Diceros bicornis minor: one gene and its partners. Each later gene encodes a partner of the first gene's protein in a complex. Links are inferred from orthologs where the notes say so. Each region holds a gene or a part of one and is shown in the gene's direction. Other genes may lie near its edges.

Region 1 (7,435 bases):
TCATACAGTTCTCACTGTGTCCTCACATGGCCTTTCCCCAGCACAAGTGTGGGGAGAGAGAGATCTCTGGTGTCTTTTCCTCTTAACTACTCCAAATACAGTCACATTGGGGATTAGGGATTCAACCTATGAATTTTGCAGGGATATTCAGTCCATAGCACTCATCTGCTTCCAGAAGAGAGTCTGCTGGGCACATCACTGCCCTGCTGGACTCCTTTTCTCAGCCCTCCTTTCTGTTAGGCGTGGCCAGGTGACTAAGTTACCGCCAATGAAAAGTGAGCAGAAGTGGCGTGTGCTCCTTCAGACTGAACACTCCCTCTGCCTCCCACCCCCCGCAACCCAGCCTTGACTAGGAGGACAATGACGAGGCCCTCTAGGGGCAGACACTGTGCTAGAGGGAATCTGGGTTCCTGAGTGACCCCATGGAGCATGGCTGCCCACCCCCTGGACTGTTCACAATGGGACTGTTACATAAGAAATACAATTCTCTCTGTTCTAAGCCACTGGATTTTGGTTGAGTTTCTTTGTTAGAGTAGTTTAGCCTTTCCCTAAAGTGCTGGTTCTCAACTGGGGGACATTTGGATTGTCACAACTTGGTGTGGGGGTGCTAACAGCATCTAGTGGGGAGAGGCCAGGCATGCTGTTAAACATCCTACATGGCACAGGACAGCGCCCCACAGCAAAGAGTTATTGGCCCAAAATGTCAATAGCTCTGAGGTTGAGAAACCCTGCTCTAAAGTATATAGCAATAAAAAGAAATAGTAAGGGACTCACCTCTCACTTTGGTAGGTTCTAAAACAGGGTCTCTGTAAGAGAATCTATTACTTTTCTTATGTGAATGAAAGAAGACACATTGCTCTCTGGAAGAAGTTATTTCCAATATCTGATATGTGAAGGCCATGCCTCTTAATAATAAAGACTTTTTTTTTTAATTTTTTATTTTTGTGAGGAAGATCAGCCCTGATCTAACATCCATGCCAATCCTCCTCTTTTTGCTGAGGAACATCAGCTCAGAGCTAACATCTATTGCCAATCCTCCTCCTTTTTTTTTTTCCCCAAAGCCCTAGTAGATAGTTGTATGTCATAGTTGCACATCCTTCTAGTTGCTCTATGTGGGACACTGCCTCAGCCTGGCCTGACAAGCGGTGCATCGGTGCACACCCGGGATCCGAACTCGGGCTGCCAGCAGCGGAGCACGCATACTTAACCGCTAAGCCACAGGGCCGGCCCCAAGAATTTTTTTTAGGTGAAAGGCATGAAGACCAATTTCCCCACAGATAATGGGTAAAGGACATAAAGAAAATGATAGAAGAACTACAAATAGTCAATGAATAATGGAAAAACATGTTTAGCCCCACTTAAAATCACAGAAATACAAATTAAAACACTGAGGTTGGTTTTTTTTTGGTTATTTCTTTTTTTCTATCAAGTTTGCAAAAGTAAAAACCCTGACAAAATCTAGGGTTGACAAAAGTGTGGAAACATACTCAGGTGGGTGTCAGTTGGTATAACCTTCCCCTTGGGCAATTCATTTAGAAATGTCAGCACTTAGAATATTCGATGCTCTTTGAGCCAGCAATTCCATCTCTAAAAGTTTATCCAAAAGAACAAACCAGACAAGTGGTCAATTAAAGATGGCCACAGTCCTTGTACTCTGCCTATTGACAAGTGGAGTCTAATTCCCCACCCTTCAAATCTGGGCCCCAACGACTTGTTTGACCGATAGAATGTAGTGAGGTGATGTCTTGGGACAACTGAGGTGAGGTCACAAGAGTCTTGCAGCTTCCACTGAGGCCTCCCAGAACTCTCCAGAAGCCCTGAGTGGCCATGTAAGAAGGACTACTACCTGGGATCCCTATGGTGGAGAGGCTACATGTAGGCACTCTGGTCCATGGTGCCAGTTGAACCCAGCCTCCAGCCACCCCAGTGATCTCTATTGTATTACATAGAACAAAAGAATCACCCATCTGAGCCCTCCTGAAATGCCTGACTCATAAAAGTTGTGAGCTATAATAAAATGGTTCTTTTAAACCACTAAGTTTTCAGGAAGTTTATTATGCAGCAATAAATAACCGGAACAGACATACAAACAGCTAAATGAACAAATGTTCACCAGAGCATTATTTATGGTAATGGAAAATTGGAAACAATCAAAAGATTGTGCATCTATAAGGAGTTTGTTAAAGTATGGTACATGAACACAGTGAAATATACCTAGTAAACAGGGTGAAATAGAAGTGAGTAAAGCATGACTAGATGTTGGTGAAGAGTATCAAGTTAGAAATGAAAATAGGAGAAAGGTGGACAGTGTGACTCACCAATAAGAAAATCAACAGCCCAATTAAAAAATGGGCAAAAGATTTGGACAGACACCTCACTAAAGACATACAGATGGCAAATGTGCACGTGAAAAGGTGCTCAACACTGTACGTCACTAGAGAAATGCAAATTAAAAAAAAATGAGGTACCTCTACACACCTATTAGAATGGCCAAAATCCGGAAGATTGATACCAAATGCTGATGAGGATGTGGAGCAACATCATTCATCGCTGATGGGAATGCAAAATGGTACAGCGACTCTGGAAGGCAGTTTGGCGGTTTCTTACCAAACTAAACGTGATCTTACAGCATGATCCAGCAAATCACACTTCTTGGTATTTACCCAAAGGAACTGAAAACTGTGAAACACCTGTGCACAAATTATTACAGTAGCTCTATTCATAATTGCCCAAACTTGGAAGCAATTCAATAGGTGAATGGATAAACTGTGGTACATCCAGACAATGGAATATTATTCAGCGTTAAGAAAAAATGAGCTATCAACCCACAAAAAGGCATGGAGGAAACTTAGAATGCATATTACTAAGTGAAAGAAGCCAATTGGAAAAGGCTATATACTGTATGATTCCAACTATGTGACATTCTGGAAAAGGCAAAACCATAGACGGGAAAAACATAGTGTCTGCTGGGACACTATGGGGGGCAAGGAAAGGGATGAATAGGTGGGGAGCACAGGGGATTTTTAGGGCAGAGAGGCTATTCTGTGTGAGTGGATACATGTGTTTATACATTTGTCAAAACCTATAGAACTGTGTAACACAGAGTGAACCCTAATGTAAACTATAGACTTTAGTTAATAACAACGTATCATTTCATCAATTGTAATAAATGTATGACACCAATGCAAAATATTTATAATAGGGTAAACTGTGTGTGTGTGTGTGGAGGGAGTATCTAGGAACTCTCATTTTCTTCTGTTTTTCTATAAACCTAAAACTGCTCTAAAAAATAGTCTATTAATTAAAAAAATAATTTAGCCACTTAAAACAATAAAAAAGGTGGGTAGTGTGCAATCATGTACACTGCCTGTGTGCTTTTTCTCATCAAGCATTCAATGGGGCCAGAAAGGATGCACCCAAACTGCTAACATGGATTCAAAGGTGAACAAGAGAGTCCTGTATTCCGGGAAGTGGGGAAACTATAAGTTCCGGAATAGTTTGAATTATTATAATGAACGTAAGATTGGCAAAAACAATGAATAGGTTTCCATTTTTTAATATTTGGGGCTTCGGGAAGAGTTCAAGAAGCGGGGAATATCTCGAAACGCGCATCTTCAATAATGGAACTAGTGCTCCATTCGTCAGGCTGTGCCGCTGGTGTGACCAACAACCTTGAATCTCGGAGTCAAGGATGGGTGGGTTCTGGGGCCCGGGCTCCTCTGGTCTGGGGAACAGCGGTCCCTCGGCACCCTGTACGGGCGGAGGCACGCGGAGCCCCTTCCCCGTGGGCCCGCGCTGGCCGGGGAAGACAGAAGGCCTGCAGCGGCTGACCCTCGACTCCGCTGCCCGTCCAGTCTCCTGCGCGCATCCGAGGGCTCTCGCGGACCCTCTCGTCCCGCGACCGCGTTCGTCCACCTCGCAGGCACACGCTCTGAGCCCAACCCTGCCCAGAACTCCCGGACACAGGCGCGGACCTCCGGGGGGGAGCGGGTGGCCGGCCCCCGGCGCCACGTGTCAGCGCGGGTCCCGCCGAGCGGGCGGAGGAAGCGCGTCCGAGGCTGCGGCGCCCCGACCTCGCTCTCACACTGCCCCGCCGAGCCCCTCCTGCTCAGCTCCCGCGCGGCGCCGCGCGGATCCCGCCGACCGGAAGCCAGGGGGCGTGCCCAGCCGGCGTCCCCGCCCCCATCGGCCAATCAGCGCGCGAGACTCATGAATAGTGAGCATGCCGGCACCGCCCTCCACCCCTCGCGGCACCGCCCGCCCGCGCAGACCCAGAGCGCGGCCGCGGACGAAGATGGCGACCGCCATGTACTTGGAGCACTACCTGGACAGTAAGCGCCTCCCGCGCGCCCCGGGCCCGCCGCCCGCGCGCGGCCCTCCCCGCCGCACACCCCTGCGTGCCAGACCAAGCGCGGGGACCGTGGGGCTCGTGGGGGCGGCGGGGCGGTTGACGGCGGCGGGGGCGACGGGGACGCGCGCGGGGCGGGGCCGCGAGGGTGGTGCGCGTGGGGGGCGCGGCGCGGGGGCCCGTCGTCACGGCCCCGCCAATTCCAGGTGCGTCACGGCGGGGCGGGGCCGGCGGGGCGGGGCGGGGTCGGTGTGACCAGGCCCCGCCCCCCGGGTAAGCCCCTGCCCCCAGCCCTGCCAGCCCCGCCCCTCCCCTCCGAGAGTGGGCTCCACCCCTCCCTGCCGGCCCCGCCTCTCCATTCCCCCGCCCCATCATTGGCTAGGGCCCCGGTCAGGCCCCGCCCCATCATGGGCTAGGCCCCGCCCCTCCTGGCTGGCCCGCGCTCCTCGTCGACTCCGCCCTCCCCACCGTAGGCCCAGGCCTCGGCCTCGCCTCTGCCCTCCCTCGCTAGGTCCCGCCCTCTCCGGCTAGGCTCCGCCCCCACCCAACTGGCCCGCGCGGTGGTCTAGTCCCAACCCCCATGGACTCTGGGTCCGGCTCTGGCTCTCCAGAGTTCTGTGCCTGCTCGTACTGTGACCTGGGAGTGGCTTCCTTAGAGCGAGCTTCAGTTTGTGTGTCTGCAAGATGGGGAGGCGGTGCTGGCGGAGGGTCTCCCAGGGTGCCTGTCTCTCTGGGTACCTACAAGGCTGGTTAAGGTTCAGGGCCCACGTCCTTGAAGCTCTCGGTGCAGGCGTCCTTCCGTCTTTGTCTACAGGGAGCACAGGTTGGACCCTCCTGATAACTCCTGAGCAGATGGTTCTTTCCGGAATTTCTACAGAGAGGAAAATGCAGCCCGCAGGCCCTGGAGTGGGGAGCCTGCGTTTGAACCCTGCGGGTCTCTCCCGCTGGGGGTGCCCTTGGGTGGGGGTTGGGTTGGGTGGCTCTGGAGCGCTGTGCTGCACTGGGTGTATTCACAGCCACTCAGGCCTGGCTGCCTGGGACCCCCGCCTGAGGCTGCCGAGACCAGGGCATGAGCCCCGCTCTGCTGGAGACAGTGGGGAATCCAGCCCTCCCCAAAGGGGTTGTCCAGTCCTGGCCATTTGTTCTGCTCTCGGTGGAGGAGAGGCTCTTCCACACCGTTGTCACCAGAGAGGCCTGCACCCACGTGTCTGCTGGGGAGCATTGTGGCTTGCCCTTCTCTGTCCCAATACCTGCCTGGTGCACTCCATAAGGAGGGTTTGAGGAACGTGAGTTTTGTTGTGGTCGGACCACCTGTATGAAGGCTCGGGAATGGAGGCACCTGCTCCCTCCTTGAGCACCTGCTGTGTGCCAGGAAAGCAAACACGATCCCCATTTTCCTGGAACTTACTATCAGATGGGGCAGATGGAGTTTTTAAAAGTTTGCAGAAAGTTAAGGGCCGTGAAGACCAGCAGGTCGTGAGAGCGCGGGGATGGCACTGTCCTGCAGAGCCCTGGGTGGGACAGAGCAGGGAGGGCCTGGGGAGCCTGGAGGCTTTGGAGGGAGTTTGTGCCACTGTCTGGGTGATCTGGGAAGCACTGGGGCTTTAAGCGGCAGCTTTGTAAGGTTAGATTAGCTCTTAAAATGATCACTGGCAGCTGGGGAGAGTGGAGGGGGGCCAGGACTGGACGCTGGAGCCCAGTCGGGGGCATGGCTTGTCACGGCAGTGCAGGCGGGTGGAGAGGTTGGCCTGGACTAGAAGGATGGCAGCGCAGACAGGAAAGCAGCATGGGGTTGACCTGTGCTGTCAGGCATAGTCTCTTCAACTGCATATTAGTTAAACTTGAGTAAAATTGAAAGTTTAGTCCCTCAGTCGTCCTAGCCCTGTTTTGGTGCTTAGTAGCCTCATGTAGCCAGTGCCCGCTCTATCAGGCAGCTCAGAGAGAGAGCATTTCCATCCTTGCATAAAGTTCTGCCAGACCGCGCTGGTCTGCACTGCCTGATGCACTGGATATCAGAGTCAAGTGGAGGGCAGATCAAGGAGGACCCCAGGGTTTGAACTTGCTCAGTGTGGCGGGGTATCTGCAGAGGGGGATGCCTTGGGGTCTGGGGTGGAGGAGTCACCCGGGCCATCTTCCCTACCTCTGCCTCTGCTCACAGCTCCTTTCTAAGTTTGCCTCTAACTTTTTTTTTTTTTTTTTATGTGAGGAAGGTCAGCCGTGAGCTAACATCTGTGCCAATCCTCCTCTTTTTGCTGAGGAAACTGGCTCTGGGCTAACGTCTGTGCCCATCTTCCTCCACTTTATATGGGACGCCGCCACAGCATGGCCTGATAAGCAGTGCATTGGTGCACTCCCGGGATCCGAACCCGGGCCGCCAGCAGCAGAGCGTGCAGACTTAACCGTTACGCCATAGGGCTGGCCCCTGCCTCTAACTTCTTGAGCTTCTGACCACTTCTGAAGTGTGTCACCCTCTTCTCAGTGTTTGGTACCTGTCCCTGAGAAAAGATACATTAGTCGTTCTCTTCTCCAAACTCTAACAGAAACAGAAGACAAAGCAGGCTTCTTATTTGTAGACTTTAGGTAAAAAGCCTGGGAGGCAGATTTTGTCCTACTACTGAGAAGTACATGTCTCCGTGTTTCAGGTATCGAGAACCTTCCCTGTGAACTTCAGAGGAACTTCCAGCTGATGCGAGAGCTGGACCAGAGGACAGAAGGTGGGTTCAGGGGAGCTGGTGCAGTGGGGCCTTAGCCTAGGCTTTAGGCATTGGGTGGTGCCTTAGAGAGAGAGTTGATACTTTAAGATCAAACTTAGTTCCTTGGATTATTACACATCTTCACGTCACATCTTTATAAGCATCATCCCCTCTTTGCAGTCAAAATGTTCATTACCTTTTCTTTCCTTTAAAAGATTTTCTATTTCCAAACTACGTGTGCATAATTTAAATAGATAGCGCTTTCTGATCTCTTGAAGTTTAACTCCCTATTTCTAAATGTATGTTTTTGCTGCTATTTCTTATTTTATTTTTCTTTAGTTTTAGACTTTATCTACATAGTTGTTATGGAAAATGAAGAGTTCCTTCTCCACTT
Region 2 (8,222 bases), on another chromosome or scaffold:
CACACACAACCAAAAAATCCCACAAAACTGCAGCAAATATCACCCTCAATTTGAAAGCAGTCCTTTTGTAAGATTAGAAGCAAGACAAGCATACCAACTACCACTACTCAAATGATAAAAGAAAGGATTGATACATTTATGTAAATTAATAATAGGAGCTTCTGTTCACCAAAAGATACCATTAAGAAAAGTGAAATGACAAGCTAAAAAATAGGGGAAATAATATGCAACATATATAACTGACATGTATCAGAACTTGGAATATATAAAGAACTAACAAAGATATGAGAAATGCAATAGAAAAATAGGCAAAAGACTAGAACAAGACTTCACAGAAAACTCAAATGGCAATAAACATGGAAAAAAAGGTCAATCTCACTAGTAATCAGGGAAACGCAAATTAAAATACTACAATAATAACACTAATAAGAGTTAAGATTATAGTGTGCTTTCTGTATAATGTAGACTATTTTAGCGCCATAACTATAGTAACTTTTAAAATTCTCACAACAATCCTATGTGATAATATGATAGGCATGAAGTGCTATTAACTCATATGCTGTGCATGAAAAAACTCAGAAAGTTTTCAAGTCAAGCAGTATAACACCTCCAACTTTGTTCTTTTTCAAAGTTGATGACAATTCTGTATCTCTTGTATTTCCATAAGAATTTCAGAACCTGCTTGTCAGTTTCTACAAACGAATCCTGCTGGGATTACAATCGTGATTGCATTGAATCTATGAATCAATTTGGGAATAATTGACATCTTAACAATATTGAGATTTCCAACCTAAGAACAAGGTATAGCTTCCCACTTTCTTAGGTCGTCTTTAATTTCTCTCAGCAATATTTTGTAGTAATCGATGAACATATCTTGCACATGTTTGTCAGATTTACCCCTAAATATTTCATATTTTTGAAGCTATTGTAAAATGTATTGTTTTTTATATTTTCACTTGCAATTGTTTGTTGATGGTATATAGAAATACGCTTTATTTTTTAAAATTGTGGTGAAATACACATAAAATTTACCATCTTAACCATTTTTAAATGTATAGTTTAGTGATGTTAAGTACATTGACATTGTTGTGCAACCACCATCACTATCCATCTTCAAAATCTTTTCATCTAGCAAGACTGAAACTCTGTACTCGTTAAACAATAACTCCCATTTCCTCCTCCCCTCAGCCCCTGGCAACCACCATTCTACTTTCTGTCTCTATGAATTTGACTACTCGAGGTACTTCATACAAGTGGTATCATACAGTTTTTGGTTTTTTCATGACTGGCTTATTTCACTTAGCAAAATGTTCTCAAGGTTCATCCATGTTGTATCATGTGTCAGAATTTCCTTCATTTTTAAGGGTGAATAATATTCCATTGTATGTATATACCACATTTTGTTTATCCATTTATCTGTCAATGGACATTTGGTTTGCTTCCACTCCTTGGCTATTGTGAATATCGCTGCTACAAATATGAATGTGCAATTATTTTTTTTTTGTGTGTGTGAGGAAGATCAGCCTTGAGCTAACATCTGATGCCAATCCTCCTCTTTTTGCCGAGGAAGATTGGCCTGGGCTAACATCGGTGCCCATCTTCCTCTACTTTATACGTGGGATGCCTGCCACAGCATGGCTTGATAAGCAGTGCATAGGTCCGCACCCAGGATCTGAACCTGTGAACCCTGGGATGCTGAAGCAGAGTGCACAAACTTCACCACCATGCCACTGGGCTGGCCCCTGGCTTTTATTATTTAAAAAACCATATGAAAATTCTAGCAGTTAAAAATACAATGACCAATATTAAGAACTCAATATATAGTTTTAAGAACTTAGCTTACATAGCTAGATAGAAAATATACAGACTCATGCACAAAGAAAGAGGCAAAAAAGATGATAGGAAATACAGATGGTAACCAATGAAAAATTCTGGCATATGTACAATTGAAATTCTGAAAGGAAAAGAAAGATAAGAAGAGATAGCGGCCAAGAATTTTCCAACACAGCTAAAAGATATCAAGCTACAAATAAAAGGGACTCCATGAGTGGTACTCAGCTTACTCACGAACCCAGGTGGGATAAATATAAAGAAAATCACATCTACACGCATCACAGGAAAACTGTTGAAAACTAAAGAAAAAAATACTAAAAGGAACCAGAGGAAAAAAGAGATTACTTTTCAAAGGAGTAACAAAGGAACGATGGAAACCAGAAGACAATGGAAGGACATCTTTAAAGTGCTGGAAAAAACTTGCCAAACTAGAATGCTATAACCAGCAAAAATATGAAGGATAAAATAAAGTTTTTAGGCAAATAAAAATAGAGAGAACTTGCCACCAGCAGATCTCTTGCTCTGAAAAGAGGAATTATTCAAACAGAAGGAAAAAAATTGAGTTGGAAGCACATAAATGCATATTCAAACAAGAAGCAACATAAAGGGTGATATAATGAGTACCGACTGTACAGAACAATGATTATAAAATCTTGTGTGGCTTAAAATACATGCACAGTTAAAATCCATGACAGCAATAAACACAAAAGGGGAAGGGGTAATAAGTGGGCAAAAGGAAATAAATAGTAAGATGGTAGGTATAAATTCAAATGCAGCAGTAATCATATTAAATGTAAATGGACTAAAAACTTTTCCTGTTGAAACAAGGATAGAGCAGCTTTCCAATTTTAGGCTTAGCTAGACTCTGCATGAAATGTAGTTACCAAGTACAACTGAAAAGACGGGGATTCCTAGAGCTAAAGGTGGAAGGAGGAAATAACTTTTAGCTGCCAGCCCTGCAGGGACAAACTTTGAGCAAAGTTTGAACCAAGAAAAACTGTCTTTTTAGTGCTACAGATTGTTTTTTAACATGCAAAAGATGAGGACTTGAATCTGGTTTTGTTGCAAACCTTTTATTTTGAGAAGACCTCCTGAATGTGTCATTAAGTTATGCAAATGTAAGGCAAACACTCTCTATGGAAGCTGTTTGAAAAGCTAAACTGTGCTTTGTTGTTGCAGATTCTTTTAAATTCTTGCTACTGTGTGTTTAGATCCCATTTTGGTCTTTTCACAGGAATGGCTGAAGCTAATTTTCTTCCAAATTATCCAAAAGCAAACACAACTCATCTCTGTATTCTTCTTCTGAAGACCACACACTAGTCTCACACAAAGAACTCATTTTCTTTCTATTAATATGACTTTATCTGTCCTCTTTAGGGGGAAAAAAAAAACCCTTGTTTATTTTTCTAAAAGAATCTCCCTCCTTTTTTTCTGGATGTATTTCCATTACAAATAGCTCCCATTTTACCTGAGAATGCATCTGTCTGATTTATGCAGGATGGAAAATATCCCTTCTAATAGTTATCTTGTATCCCCAAATTTCCCTCTTAATTTGGGGACAGGTCTTGGAAATAGGTGATTAAGGGTGATTCAGTAAATCTCACCACACCACACTTATGTTATCAGTGTCAGTGGTAGGATATTGAGTTGGCTAGACCATCATCTGAAAATATGTTTTTATGTTATTGAATGGTCTGGACAGTCTATATTATAGAACAATAAAGCTAAGGATTAGAGTGGAGAAAAGGTGTAGAGATAGGAAAGTATAGGTTAAGATGTAAACAAGGCAGTGCTTGAGCTGGGGGTGGAAATTCCACCTGTTTCTTAGTGGCTTAAAAATATTCATTCACTAGACACGTTTTTTTGAGTCTGTACTACTTGTACAACACTATGCCACTGGAGACGCAAAGAGACACCCTAGAAGAGCATACATCTGGGAATACATTTATAAAATGTATGTAAGAGCTACACACCAAGTGCCAAATGAACAGGGCAAATAGTCAATACTGCAAAAGTTCAGAAAAGGAAGTAAACATTGAAGTTAAGGCAATGGGAGAGACGGTGGTTTCTGAAAGGTAAAGCTGAGATAAACTGAGAAGGTGTTCTGGAGGACAGTCTACGCAGGGGGCACAAAGCAGATAAAGGTCCAGTAGCAGGAAAACCTTCCACACAAAATTGTTAAGTATTTGATATGTCTTTTCATTTGTCATTTACTGCCTTTCCCGAGAATGCAAGAAAAAAAAAGTATCACTCAGTCTCTGCCTCAAGGAGTTTAATGAGATGAGAGACAAGACAAAGAAACATACACGCAGTCAGTAGAGGACAGACAGGTCATGAAAAAGTGCTGGTGCGTGGTTCAGGCACAAATTCAGCTAAGGACAATTCTGCATAGGGCATGAGTAGAAGACAGGCCTTGGAATAAGACAGATCTAGGCTCTAAACTCAGATGTGTGCCACGAAACAGCTGTGTGACCTTGTGCAAGTCTGTGCTGTTTCCTATAAACATGGCTCTGGTAAGGTCCAACAAGTCTCTCAGTTGTGGGGAGGATGACGTCACTGTGGAGAAAGGACTTGACACGAGTGTCTAAGTTTCTACCCTTTCCCCCTCCTCATCACACCTACTCTTGCTTACAAAAAGGGTGAGATGTGCGGGGTGATGGTGCGAGCCGAAAGGGAATGATAAAGGGAGGCAACTTCCTCCCGGCCCTTCGCCCACAGCTCCCGGCCTCAGGTTCCGGGAGAGTCGCCGTAGAAGTGGGGTGAGCGCACAGAAGCGGGGAGGGAGGATCTGCTCACTGTAAACAGACGCCATCAAGAGTTCAGCTCCCATCTGCTACCGGATTTCCGTGCCACACTGAAGCCACCCCACCCATGCGCCTGCCCTCAGTGTCCCCAGCTGTGTAATGGGGACACACCGTCTCCTTCTTTCCCGGGTACCCGCCTGACCTAACCGCGTGAGAAAGGCGAGAAAGAGCCCCCAGCTGGTGGCCTCCAGCCCCGCCAGGTCCTCCTCCCACTCTGGCTTTGGCCTTTTGTACCGGCCCCACGTGACCCGCCCGGCTGGCTCTTCCCTCCTGCCCCCCCCCGCCCTCCGGCCTTTCCCGGCTCTCGGCCCAGCTCTTCCCGCTCCTCGGCCGCCCCCCTCTCGCACTGCCCCTCCCGCCTCCCCCTCGCCTACCTCCCGGCTGTTCCCGCTCCCTCCCCCAGGCCGCCGTTCCCTCGCGACACTTCCCCTCCCCCCGCGGCTCTTCCGCCGCCTCGCCTCCCCTCCCCCCGGCCGGAGCTCACTGTCTCCAAGATGGCGGCCGTGTCAGTTTGGGGCATCTCCGCGGTCCGGCCCGGGGCCCCGGGATCCCGGCTCTCTTTCCCTCCGGTAAGTAGCCGAGGGGCCACCCCCGGCCGCCCTCGGCCGCCGAGCCCGAGGCTGAGCCGCCCCGGGGCCCGCTCCGCCGCCTCGCGGGGTCGACGGGCCGCTGCAGGCCCCGCCGCGGCCTGCGCCGCCTCCCGCTGCTCTGCGCCAGGCCTCGGGCTGGGGCGCCGCGGCCGCCCCCTCGCGCCCGGCCGGCGCCCGGCTCCCCCGCCCCGCGGCCCTGCGCCTCCGCCCGCCCGCCCGGCGCTCGCGGGCCCGGCGCCCCCGCCGCTCGGGCCGGGCCCAGCCTGGGGGAGCCGGCGGCTGGGCGCGCGGCCCAGGCCGCGGAGCCTCGGGCTGGGCTGTGCCGGCGCCCGCTGTCCCTCGGGGCGCGCCCACCGCGCGGCCCCACCTGCGCCCGCCGCCCCGGGCCGGCCCGTCTGCCCGCGCTCGGGCGCTCGCTCTCCGGCTGTGGCGCGCGCGGGGGCCGCGGGGGTGACAGGCTGGCGGTGTTGTGGTGTGGAGGAGGCAGCACGTGTGGTGTTGTGTCTGTCGGGCTGACAGCCCGGCGCCGGGAGGGGAGGCGGCGGCCGCCTGTCAGTGTCGGCGAGTGGACGCGGCCGCCCGACCTGTCAGGCTCGCGGCCGCCGGCGCCCGGAACGCCGCCTTTGGACTGGCCTCGGTGGAGCGTGGGCTTGGGGAGCTGCGAGTGGGAGATGCATGGCTCCGAACTCTTGCACGTGATTTCATTGTTAACTTAGTGCTCGGGCTCTGTGCTGTCTGATGGGAACCGCGAAGCACCCGGTTGGCGAGCGCAGGGCTGTGCCGTTTCAAGTTTTTAAAGTTTCTCGCACTTTACAAAGAGAGCGCGAAGATGTGTTTGGGGCTGGGGAATGGAAACCGGGGCAGGACTGTCGGAAGCAAGCAGTGCTTTCTCTGAGGCCGCGGGGGTACTTGCAGAGTTCAAGTCTGCAGGCGCTTCACTTTCTGAGGACCTGGAGACTGGTGACAGCCCGGGCCAGAGAGACAATGAGCCACTGTCATTCATTCTTTTACCTGCGAGCTTTCTCAGTTAGGACGTTCCCAGCTTCTTACACTCGGGTTGTAGCTTAATTTAGTTTAGCGTTAATTTCTACATAATAAACTTTCTTGGAGTAATAATACGATGATTTCTGTCCTCTCCAGGCTCTCACCAAAATGAGGCATAGATCTCTCAGGGGGCTTCTTTTTAGTCTGCTAATTTAAAAATAAATCTTGGCTCAGGTTTGAGTGTTTACTGCAGCCTTTTCTTTCCTATCAGAGTTAATACTACCGCTTTCCTGGTATCTGTTAGTTTTCTTTTTGGTTTTTAATGTCACTCTTAAGAATAATTGCTGCGGGAGCCATTTTTCTAGCACTGTTTATGTTGTAATGTACATGCTTTAGAATAAGAGCAGACCTTCTAAAAAACACTCGTTAAATTTATATTTGGAGGCACAGGAGTTATTTAGATTCAGGATTTATTATTTTGGTGATTTTTAAAAAGATTGGTATCTGCCAGGTTTTGTCTTAAAGAAGGATATTGACTTTGATCCTGGAGGGGCAATATATTTATGTTTTTGTCGTATTCATTAATGTTAATTTCAGGACAGCAATCTTGAATTTTTATGAGATAGTCTCCTCTTTAGACCTGTAAACAGGCAATACATTTTTTTTTTCTGTACTGTACACTTGATATGTAGTGTGTGCACTTGAACGCAGTGATTCTGGGCCTTTCTCATTTCTTGTTTCTCTCTCTGTAGATTGGTTGTGAACACTGTGACAGTTGTTACTCCCTCCAGTCTATTGGTCAATGGTATTTTAGTTTGGTTTAGGAAAAGCTATCAGCATTTAATTGTTAAAATTTGACGGAAATTGGATTATTTTAAAATTCTTTAAGCACTTTTCACACTTGACTATTTCCAATATTATTTTTCTTTCCATTTGGAATGTTTAAAGTAATAAATTCTTAAAATATGAACTTGGTCTGTGTAATTGTCTTTGTTGTTTCTGTTAATATATGAAATAGTTAAAATTTTCTCAGTGGTTTTCTGCTATCTTGTTGACTGTTTTTATCCAGTCTCAATGTCTGGAATTTTGGAAGATGAAAGATTCACTCTTACTTTCATTGCAGGATTCTTTCTGCTAATCCAGATATTTGTTGAAGTGCTGAATAGTTTCTTGGGGAAAGATGTCAAGGAAGAGTTTCAATTCATAGACTGGTGAGCAGAGATTGTGGAGTACAGAATAGCAGCACCCCTCTGGTTAGTTGTAGCCTAAGGTCATTCATGGTATGTCTCATCTTGTTTCCTCATTGTATCCTAATTATTCATCTTTTTTTTTTTCTTTTCTTTTTTATTCCAGTGGTTTACATACATGATTGTTTTGGAATGTTGATAGAAACGTGTTAAAACTCCTACAGGTGCTCAGTAAACACTTGGTATTTGATTGCTTTAAAAGATTAGGATGTTTCAGTTAATGCTTATTTACAAAATGGGCCTTGATAGAAAACTGATCTTGTTTTAATTGTTTTTCAGGCATAAGATACACATTTTTCTGCTGGGAATGAGATGTTCTTGAGTTTTTACAACTTTATGAAGAGACCCATGTGTGGTGCTATTGAGAAATTTATTGGGAAGTTTGAAGATATTTCAAATAACAGGTTGTTTTGGTTTCTAAAGTAAAAGTGGGGAGGCACTCTATTTTGTGAAAGAAGGAAGGACTCAGGCCAGAAAACTTGTATGCTATGGTTAACTGGTTCCCAGCCTCCGAGAATGTTGTTTTCCATGGTGTAAAACTTACTCAGCATCAGGATAAGGGATAACGACTCTATGGATATACAGAATCCTTCACCATGGTAAAACTCGCTAACCCGCTGTATACGGAGTGGATTTTGGAGGCCATCAAAAAAGTGAAGAAGCAGAAACAGCGTCCTTCAGAGGAAAGGATATGTAATGCAGTGTCTTCTTCCCATGGCTTGGATCGCAAAACTGTTTTAGAACAATTGGAGTTGAGTGTTAAA
Region 3 (7,529 bases), on another chromosome or scaffold:
GGACACAGAGGAAACTGCTGTCCCTAATCCCTCCTAGGGACATCACTGGTCAAAAAGAGGCTTAGAGGAGAGAGGATGGCAGGTTCTGTGCACGTCTTTCCTAACTGAGCCAACACCTGGCGGTGGCCATCCCATTTACTGAGCCCCCCCCCCTTTTTTTTGAGGAAGCTTAGCCCTGAGCTAACATCTGTTGCAAATCTTCCCCTCTCTCTCTCTTTTTAAATCCCCCAACGCCCCAGTACATAGTTGTATATCCTAGTTGTAGGTCCTGCTAGTTCTTCTATGTGGGATGCCGCCTCAGCAAGGCTTGATGAGCGGTGAGTAGGTCCGCGCCCAGGATCCAAACTGGTGAACTCCGGGCCGCCAAAGTGGAACACGCGAACTAACTGCTGAGCCACCAGGCTGCCCCGCTACTGAGCCCTTTTAGATGCTAGGCAGCAAGGGAGAAGCTGGAGATGGTGTGGTCAGCCAGGCAAGGCTCCCAACCTCTAGGAGCTCTCAGGTCTTTGAAGCAAACAACAAAAAACTACACTTTGTATTTGAATATCTATCATTTTGCTGGCAAGGGGAGCATTTTAAAGGAAATGGAGGCATCTTTTAGTGAGCTTACAAATGTAACTGAGAAGACAAGATACAAATACAAGAAAGAAAATGCACAAGGACACACACAAAAGATTGCTCCCACTACCCCTCCCCTGTTCAGTTCCTCCTCAGCTCTGGGTGAGGTTATTACTGCAGTGTTCTAACCCATCTCCCTGCCACTCTGATCAGTCCCCCTCACAGCTTCCAGAAAGAAATCTCTAAAGTGCAAGTCCGATCATGGGACTCCTCTGCTTAAAGTCCCTCAGAGATTCCTCATCACCTCCAGCCCAGGCTCCTTAGCAGGGTATTCAAGTCTCAGCATGAACTGGTTCCCTAAACCATTCCTGTCTCTTCTTTTGGCAACCACCCGAACTCCACCATGCCATTAGTCACCCCCCATACACGATGCCGCTCCACATCTGTATGTGCTGTTCCCTTTGCGTGGAAAGCCCCTATCCTCCTTGTCCACCAGCAAACTTATTTGTCCTATGAAATTCCACTCTTATTTCACCTCTTCTATGAATCCTTCCCTAAACCTTCCAGACAAAACACTCCACTTCCTCCTCTGTATCACTTCTGAACCTTGCTCTTCCTTCTGTTTTCCCATTAATACTTTACAGCGTTTTACAACAACAAGCTTACTGGCCTGGGGAAACACGATGTTTTGTGCATACTAGTGTCACTCGATGCCTGGTATATAAGGCCTGGCTAATCACTCTGTGTCTCTTGAGCTGAAGTGAGGTTGAACACACAAAAGCAAACCACCATTGAGACTATGTAAAGATATATTCACAAACATTAAGATGTTATAGCCATGGCCAGGGGGATTGAAATTATAAATATCAATAACAACGGCCATTTACTGAACATTTACTCTGTCAGGAACTGTGCTAAGCGCTTTACAATGATCATCGCCTTTAATCCTGACAACAACACTGTGAGGGGGCTATTAGTGTCTCCACTTCACATATGAGAAAACTGAGGCCCAGATAAATTGAAAAACACATCCAAGAGCAATGCAGATAAAAAGTGGCAGAGCTGAAATTCAAATCGAGATCTGACATCAAAGCCCTGTACTTGACACTATTAGAGCTGATGAGTGAAATAAATAAGAGTTACGTTCCTATTATTCATTTGGGAAGGAGAGAGGGGAGCAGAACATCTACCAAATTATACAAGGAAAAGTATAAATACGGCAGGAAGTACAAAATAACATATCATTATGCCCTACTACCTTAGAAAGAATAAATCAGGAAAGATTTTCTGAAGAAAGTAAATTTTAACGAAGGTTGGGAGATGCACCCAGGCAGGAAGAAAAGCCTGTGTGAAAGCGTCAAGGCGGGAAGAACAGCGGAGCTACCTATGTGAAGTCTGGCGGGTGAGGATGGGCAGGGGGGCAACTGGTCAAAGGCTTTGACACCAACATCAATTTCTGCTTCCAGAGCTAATTGTGTTACGATGAATATGACACCCAAAGTAAAGGTTATGTTTGGTTCAAAAAAGAGAAAGGAATGGGGCCGGCCCGGTGGCATAGCAGTTAAATTCATGTGTTGTGCTTCAGCGGCCTGGGGTTTGCGGGTTCTGATCCCAGGCACAGACCTACTCACCGCTCAACTAAACCATGCTGAGGCAGCATCCCACATAGAAAAACTAGAAGGACCTACAACTACGTAGTGGGGCTTTGGGGAGAAAAAAAAAGGAGGAAGACTGGCAACAGATGTTAGCTCAGGGCCAATCTTGCTCAAAAAAAAGAAGAAAGAAAAAAGCTTTTAGGATTCCTCCTTCCCCATTCTAAATATACCTAGCTGTTTTACTTTCATCTTAAGTACACATTTTCCTTATGATCATATTTCTTTCCTATTGGTGTTAGTTTTTTCATCTTTCCGCCAGAGTGTACACTTTCCAAGGATAAGAACCACGTCTAAAAGAAACTGTAAACTCTTTTAGTGTTAGCTGCAGTGTTTGAAAATCCAATGTAAGAGATTAACCAATGTTGAACATTTGTAATGCTGGTATGTGTATGATGAATGGTTAAGTCAGGATAAGATCTTATTCTAAAATACTAATTTCCAGGGAGGGATACTTCACCATCTTTGAGTACTATACATTCAGAGACTGTGAACCCGTAAACATATTCTGATTAACAAGCAAGCATTTACTGTGGTTAGGGCATGGTCTGAGCACTATTAAGGATGGTATGAAAGAACTCATGTATGCTCTTAACACAAGAGCTCCTTCCCACTAGTCAGGGGGCCAGAACATCCAAGAGTGACCTCAGGAATACACCAGTAAGTGCAAAATAACAGTAATAGTGTGAAATTAAATGCTTAAGTGCTGAACGAATACAAAAGAAGAAATGTGAGCCCTTGTCAAATAAGTTCTTATGTGCAGTTCTACCTGAGTAGGTTATTCGAAGCTATTTATACTAAACACTAAAAGCTAAATACTAAATACTAAAAGCTGCTTGTGTTAACACCGGCCCAGAATATCCCCAAGGAGAGTGCTGGCGATGAGTCTGGAACTTTAACTCTTCAGAGTCCTCTGTTTAGCATATCAATCAGATGTTTACCTTCTGCTGCTTTGTTCTTTAGTTCTGCTCCAGGGGGAAATCTCCATCTTAGCGGGCCTCAGGTGAATCTGGGGTCCAGGATCCTAACTTAATGACTGGATCCTAACTTAATGACTGAGCTTGCCTGGATTCCACCCAGTCACTTTTGGCCAAGCTTTGGTCCTCTCAAGGCTTTTCCTGCAGCGAGACAAAATCCTCAACGCCTGCTCTCCACTTCCCAGCTTTTGCTTATGGCTCTTCTTCCAGTCTTGTTTCCTTGACCAACTTCTCCTTCCTAGGTCCTCTCAAAGCAGGCCCTATCCATGCCTGTTTTTTTTTTTTTTTTTTTTTTTTAGCTCCAGCTTCACTAAAAATACTCCTTCCTCTTCTTCCCTCCCCCAACTCCTAGTTCAAGCATCTGGATTTCCCGAGGTCACTTGGGCTAAACGGAGTTCAATGCTTCTCTAACTCTGGTACAACACCCACCCCCACCCCCGCGGGCCACCCAGGGCTCTCAAACCCATACCGCTTCTGGAGAAGGATCTTGCCTCCTCCTGCAACGTGAAAGACTAACTTACTCGCTGTTCGCTAATGGCAAGGACAATGTCTCCTCTACCAGGCAAGAAACTTCCTGATGATGGACGCTACCCCTTCGTTCCTTTTACGAGCCCCCATTCCCACCACTTTGAGACACAGGCCAGCTCTTAAAATACAGTTTCTTGAGCAAAGTATCCCTTCCCAAGTTTGAGTTTATATGCTAAACGGAGACGTCCTTTAGCCAATTAGGCAACGAATGGGTTAAATCTCAGCAACCTGATGGATTCTGGGGGTTTCCTTTCTCGACTTCAGAATTAAAACGACCGGGAAGGGGACTTTTGCCCAAGATAAAGATGAGAACCGTTAGCTTCAACTATCAGGCTTCTGCCCCAAACAAGAACGGCTACCCACGCCCACAAAGAGAGCCATTCCCCTAACTAAAAATGGCTGGCCCGGGTTTCTTCTATCGGTGCCACTTTTTGCCCCATTCCAAAATGGCGCTCACTGGCCTCAATGGAAGGAACTAAACCTCCCAGCACCCTCTCTAGCCAGTAACGTCAGGTGACGCGAGCCCCAACCGGAAGTGAAGGAAAAAGCGCCTCAGCCCGCGGCGCCTGCGCGGAAGGGTTTAGACGCTGTGAAGCAGGAGGCACTTGGGATCGTCCGCAGGATTGGGACTGCTACAGAGGCCGCCACGGAGCCCGCCGGAGCCACCGTTCCTACTGCTGCTGCCGCCGCTGCCCGAATCGGAACCGTCGGGCCGCAGCCGCCGGCAATGCCGCGAAGGAAGGTGAGAGGAACAGGACGGGAGGGATGGCGGGTTTCTAAGGACGGTCGATTGAGCAACGTGACGCAGTTAGCCACGCCTCACACTGGCTGGGCTCCAACTTCCCGCTCCCCGGAACCTAGCTCAGCAACCCTCTTTTCTGTCGGTACCCAACGGAAAAATGTGGGCCCGACCCTGGCCTCGGCCTATGCCTGCAACTATTCCCGCCCTCTGCTTGCCTGGCTCGGAGGCGTTCTTCTTGTTAATTGGTCGCTGCAACGTGTGGAAGAACATTGATTGGCTGATGACACCGCCCATTTGGGCCCAACGGTCACCTCCCCGCGTGCGGGGGCAGTGTCTGGCCCGGCCCTACCGCGCTCGGATTGGCTGTGGAGAACGATCCCTCCTCTCTTAATTGGCTGCCCTTGGCAATCTGTCCCGTGGGGGCGCGGTTTAGCGGGACCCCGATTGGTGGCGCGAATCCCGGCCCTTCCGGCTGGTGAAGCTAATCGGTGGAGAGGCGGGGTTTCGGAGCATCCTTCCTTTCCGGGCGGGGGGTACAACAAAGCGGAGGAGTGGGTGGTAGAGAACCAGCGCCCACTCCCAGGGGATCCCACTCTGGCCTGTTGCCTTTAAGCCATAATTTTTCCTTATTTGCCTAGTTGGACAGCGCCTAGAAAATGCAGTTCGTAAAATCAGAAACTTTCTAGAATTAGATGAGACTTACGAGATCACCTAGGGACACCCCCATCCCTTCTCTTTGCAGCTGAACAGAGGCCTAATGGATTACCTCAAGCCGCTCAATTAGGCAATGGCAGAGCCAGGACTACAGAACAAATCTAATTCAGTTCGACGAATGTTTATTGACTACTTGCTACGTGCTGGTTGCTGGGGATTCAAAAATTAATTCGATTTGATCCCTGGCTTAAGGAAATCACAGTCTGATGGAGAAAACAGACATATAAATGGCTGTAGAAGGATCTAGTAAATTTTCTATTTGGAAGTATATATACAAAGCGTTATGGGAGGGAAGTGAGGGAGCAATTGTCTGCTCTGGAGTAAGATGGGAAGTAGATTGGTGAAAGCCTGAGAGAAGAGCTGAGTTCCAGAGTCAGGCCTGGAAGGGATGGTCAGAGATGATCAGGGATTCAAATGTCTGGGTAATTGGACTAGACCACCTTTAAGACGTCTCCTTCATCCTATCAACTATCTGTGACTTTTTCTGGGGCCTCCACTCATTTCTGGGCAGATTACTCTTGCCATTTGGAAAGCTGGGTGGTATTCTCGCTCATTTTTGCAGAAATCTTTCTCTTCCCAGAGGTTTTCAAAAAAAATATTTACACTTTTTAATGTTTCTTAAAATGACTGCATCAGTAGGTGGTATTTATATTAAGGCTTACCAAATGCAGGAATAGTATTGGTGCCTTGGAATAGGTCCATAGTCCCCTTTCTGCAATTCCCAAATACAAAGAGCTCTTGAAGATGTAAGTTTTTTTAGTAATTTATTTGGTGGCAAAACCTGTTCTAAACTGTCCTGAGGCTACTTATAATTTTTGTGTGTCTCATTTAGTGTGATTGCTTTTATATCTTGCTGCAGAAATGTTAATAAGCTTGAGTTAATAAGTTAAGTAAGGGGGTGTTATTTGAAGGCTATATGCAAAGTGTTCCCTTTGAAAAATCTAAAAAATTATGAATTCTAAACACAACTGGCCCTAAGTGTTTTTGGATAAAGAATAGGGGACTTGTAGTTTGAAGCTTTGTATTGTTTTTTTAGCAAATACTCTTCCTATTCTGGTTTAGTAAAGAGTATAGTGTTAATGCTCAATTGATAAAAGTTATCTTTATGGCTAAATATGTCTCAGGAGGCTAATAATTAACAAATAATTATTAATTAAAAAGATAATAAAAGAACCCTCTGTTTTTGAATACCTATGAGTCTTCATGTGTAAGCTGCCTTTTTTTTTTTTTAAAGCATTCATATGGAGAAACTTAAAGGTAGATAACATAAGAAAGAATTTTACTCTTTTTCTGCTTAAGTTCTTTTGTGATCAGAATTGTGGACCGTGATATTTTGAGTTAGTGTATGGTTTTTTAAAATGTGATAGCTGTTTATGGAGATTTTGAACAAAAGCTACCCTAAAGTTAAATGGAGTCTAGCATTAACATTTGTGTCACTACCTTGGACTTTCTCTAAGTGCATGGTTATGCCAGCCAGACTATTTTGAGTTAGATAATTTTATTTCCAGTTTGTGGTACTGACCTTCAAATGGACTTGTTTCAGAGTTAGTGATAATATAGTAAGAATTAATTCTCTTTCTTCTAGTGATAATATAGTAAGAATTAATTCTCTTTCTTCATTTATTCAATAAAGGGGCATTATTTGTAGGTTTCTCCATTTAAGTGCTCTCAATAAAGGGAAGTTGGCTGTGGAGTCCTTTCTTAGGTTTGAACTTGGTGTTTTCAGCATCATGGTTGGTTTTATTTCCAGTGTTAATACAAACCCACAGAGTAAATGCTTCTGTGCTAATGTCTGGATCTATGGTGTTACAGAGGAATGCAGGCAGTAGTTCAGATGGAACCGAAGATTCCGATTTTTCTACAGATCTTGAGCACACAGATAGTTCAGAGAGCGATGGCACATCCCGGCGATCTGCCCGAGTCACCCGCTCCTCAGCCCGGCTGAGCCAGAGTTCCCAAGGTAAAAGCCTTCCTTCTTTTTGACTGTGCCTCACATCAACTCCCTGGTCATCATATCACTGTGCTAGTCAATGTGGAAACTGGTCTGTTGCCTGGTTGTAGATGACAGAATCTGGTAAAATGCAGAGTGACTGCAGAAGTGTCAGGTCTTTCAAAATGGTTCTTTTGGGGGTGCTGTCCAATTTGTAGACCCAAAGGAACCAAGTCTGTGTGACACAATTATGTCTTGAGTCATTTAATTTTTTTTAGATTACGCTTTTCCTATCAGTAAAATGGGAATGTTATCTTTTCAGTTTCTGTTAGAATGGGTTAAGTTTAGAGACTTAAAATAGTCTCTTGAACTTGTTATTGGAGGAGGCCCAACACTTCTAAAACTATGTTTAATTCTGTAATGTAGTC

The links.
Region 2: ING5 (region 1) and KAT6A share a complex: the UniProt entries of both Homo sapiens proteins name them as parts of the MOZ/MORF complex. The link is inferred for Diceros bicornis minor from reciprocal best matches to the Homo sapiens genes ING5 and KAT6A.
Region 3: ING5 (region 1) and KAT7 share a complex: the UniProt entries of both Homo sapiens proteins name them as parts of the HBO1 complex. The link is inferred for Diceros bicornis minor from reciprocal best matches to the Homo sapiens genes ING5 and KAT7.

The regions. Positions count from the first base shown.
Region 1 is NC_080776.1:28,457,036-28,464,470, forward strand, and holds the start of ING5 (inhibitor of growth protein 5), read left to right. Parts: upstream 1-4,284; 5' UTR 4,285-4,294; coding exon 4,295-4,331; intron 4,332-6,990; coding exon 6,991-7,062; intron 7,063-7,435. UniProt on the Homo sapiens protein: Component of the HBO1 complex, which specifically mediates acetylation of histone H3 at 'Lys-14' (H3K14ac) and, to a lower extent, acetylation of histone H4. Component of the MOZ/MORF complex which has a histone H3 acetyltransferase activity.
Region 2 is NC_080768.1:39,182,253-39,190,474, reverse strand, and holds the start of KAT6A (histone acetyltransferase KAT6A), read left to right. Parts: upstream 1-5,110; 5' UTR 5,111-5,206; intron 5,207-7,289; exon of another isoform or gene 7,290-7,491; intron 7,492-7,737; 5' UTR 7,738-8,054; coding exon 8,055-8,222. UniProt on the Homo sapiens protein: Histone acetyltransferase that acetylates lysine residues in histone H3 and histone H4 (in vitro). Component of the MOZ/MORF complex which has a histone H3 acetyltransferase activity. May act as a transcriptional coactivator for RUNX1 and RUNX2.
Region 3 is NC_080757.1:36,435,285-36,442,813, reverse strand, and holds the start of KAT7 (histone acetyltransferase KAT7), read left to right. Parts: upstream 1-4,272; 5' UTR 4,273-4,442; coding exon 4,443-4,457; intron 4,458-6,983; coding exon 6,984-7,131; intron 7,132-7,529. UniProt on the Homo sapiens protein: Catalytic subunit of histone acetyltransferase HBO1 complexes, which specifically mediate acetylation of histone H3 at 'Lys-14' (H3K14ac), thereby regulating various processes, such as gene transcription, protein ubiquitination, immune regulation, stem cell pluripotent and self-renewal maintenance and embryonic development.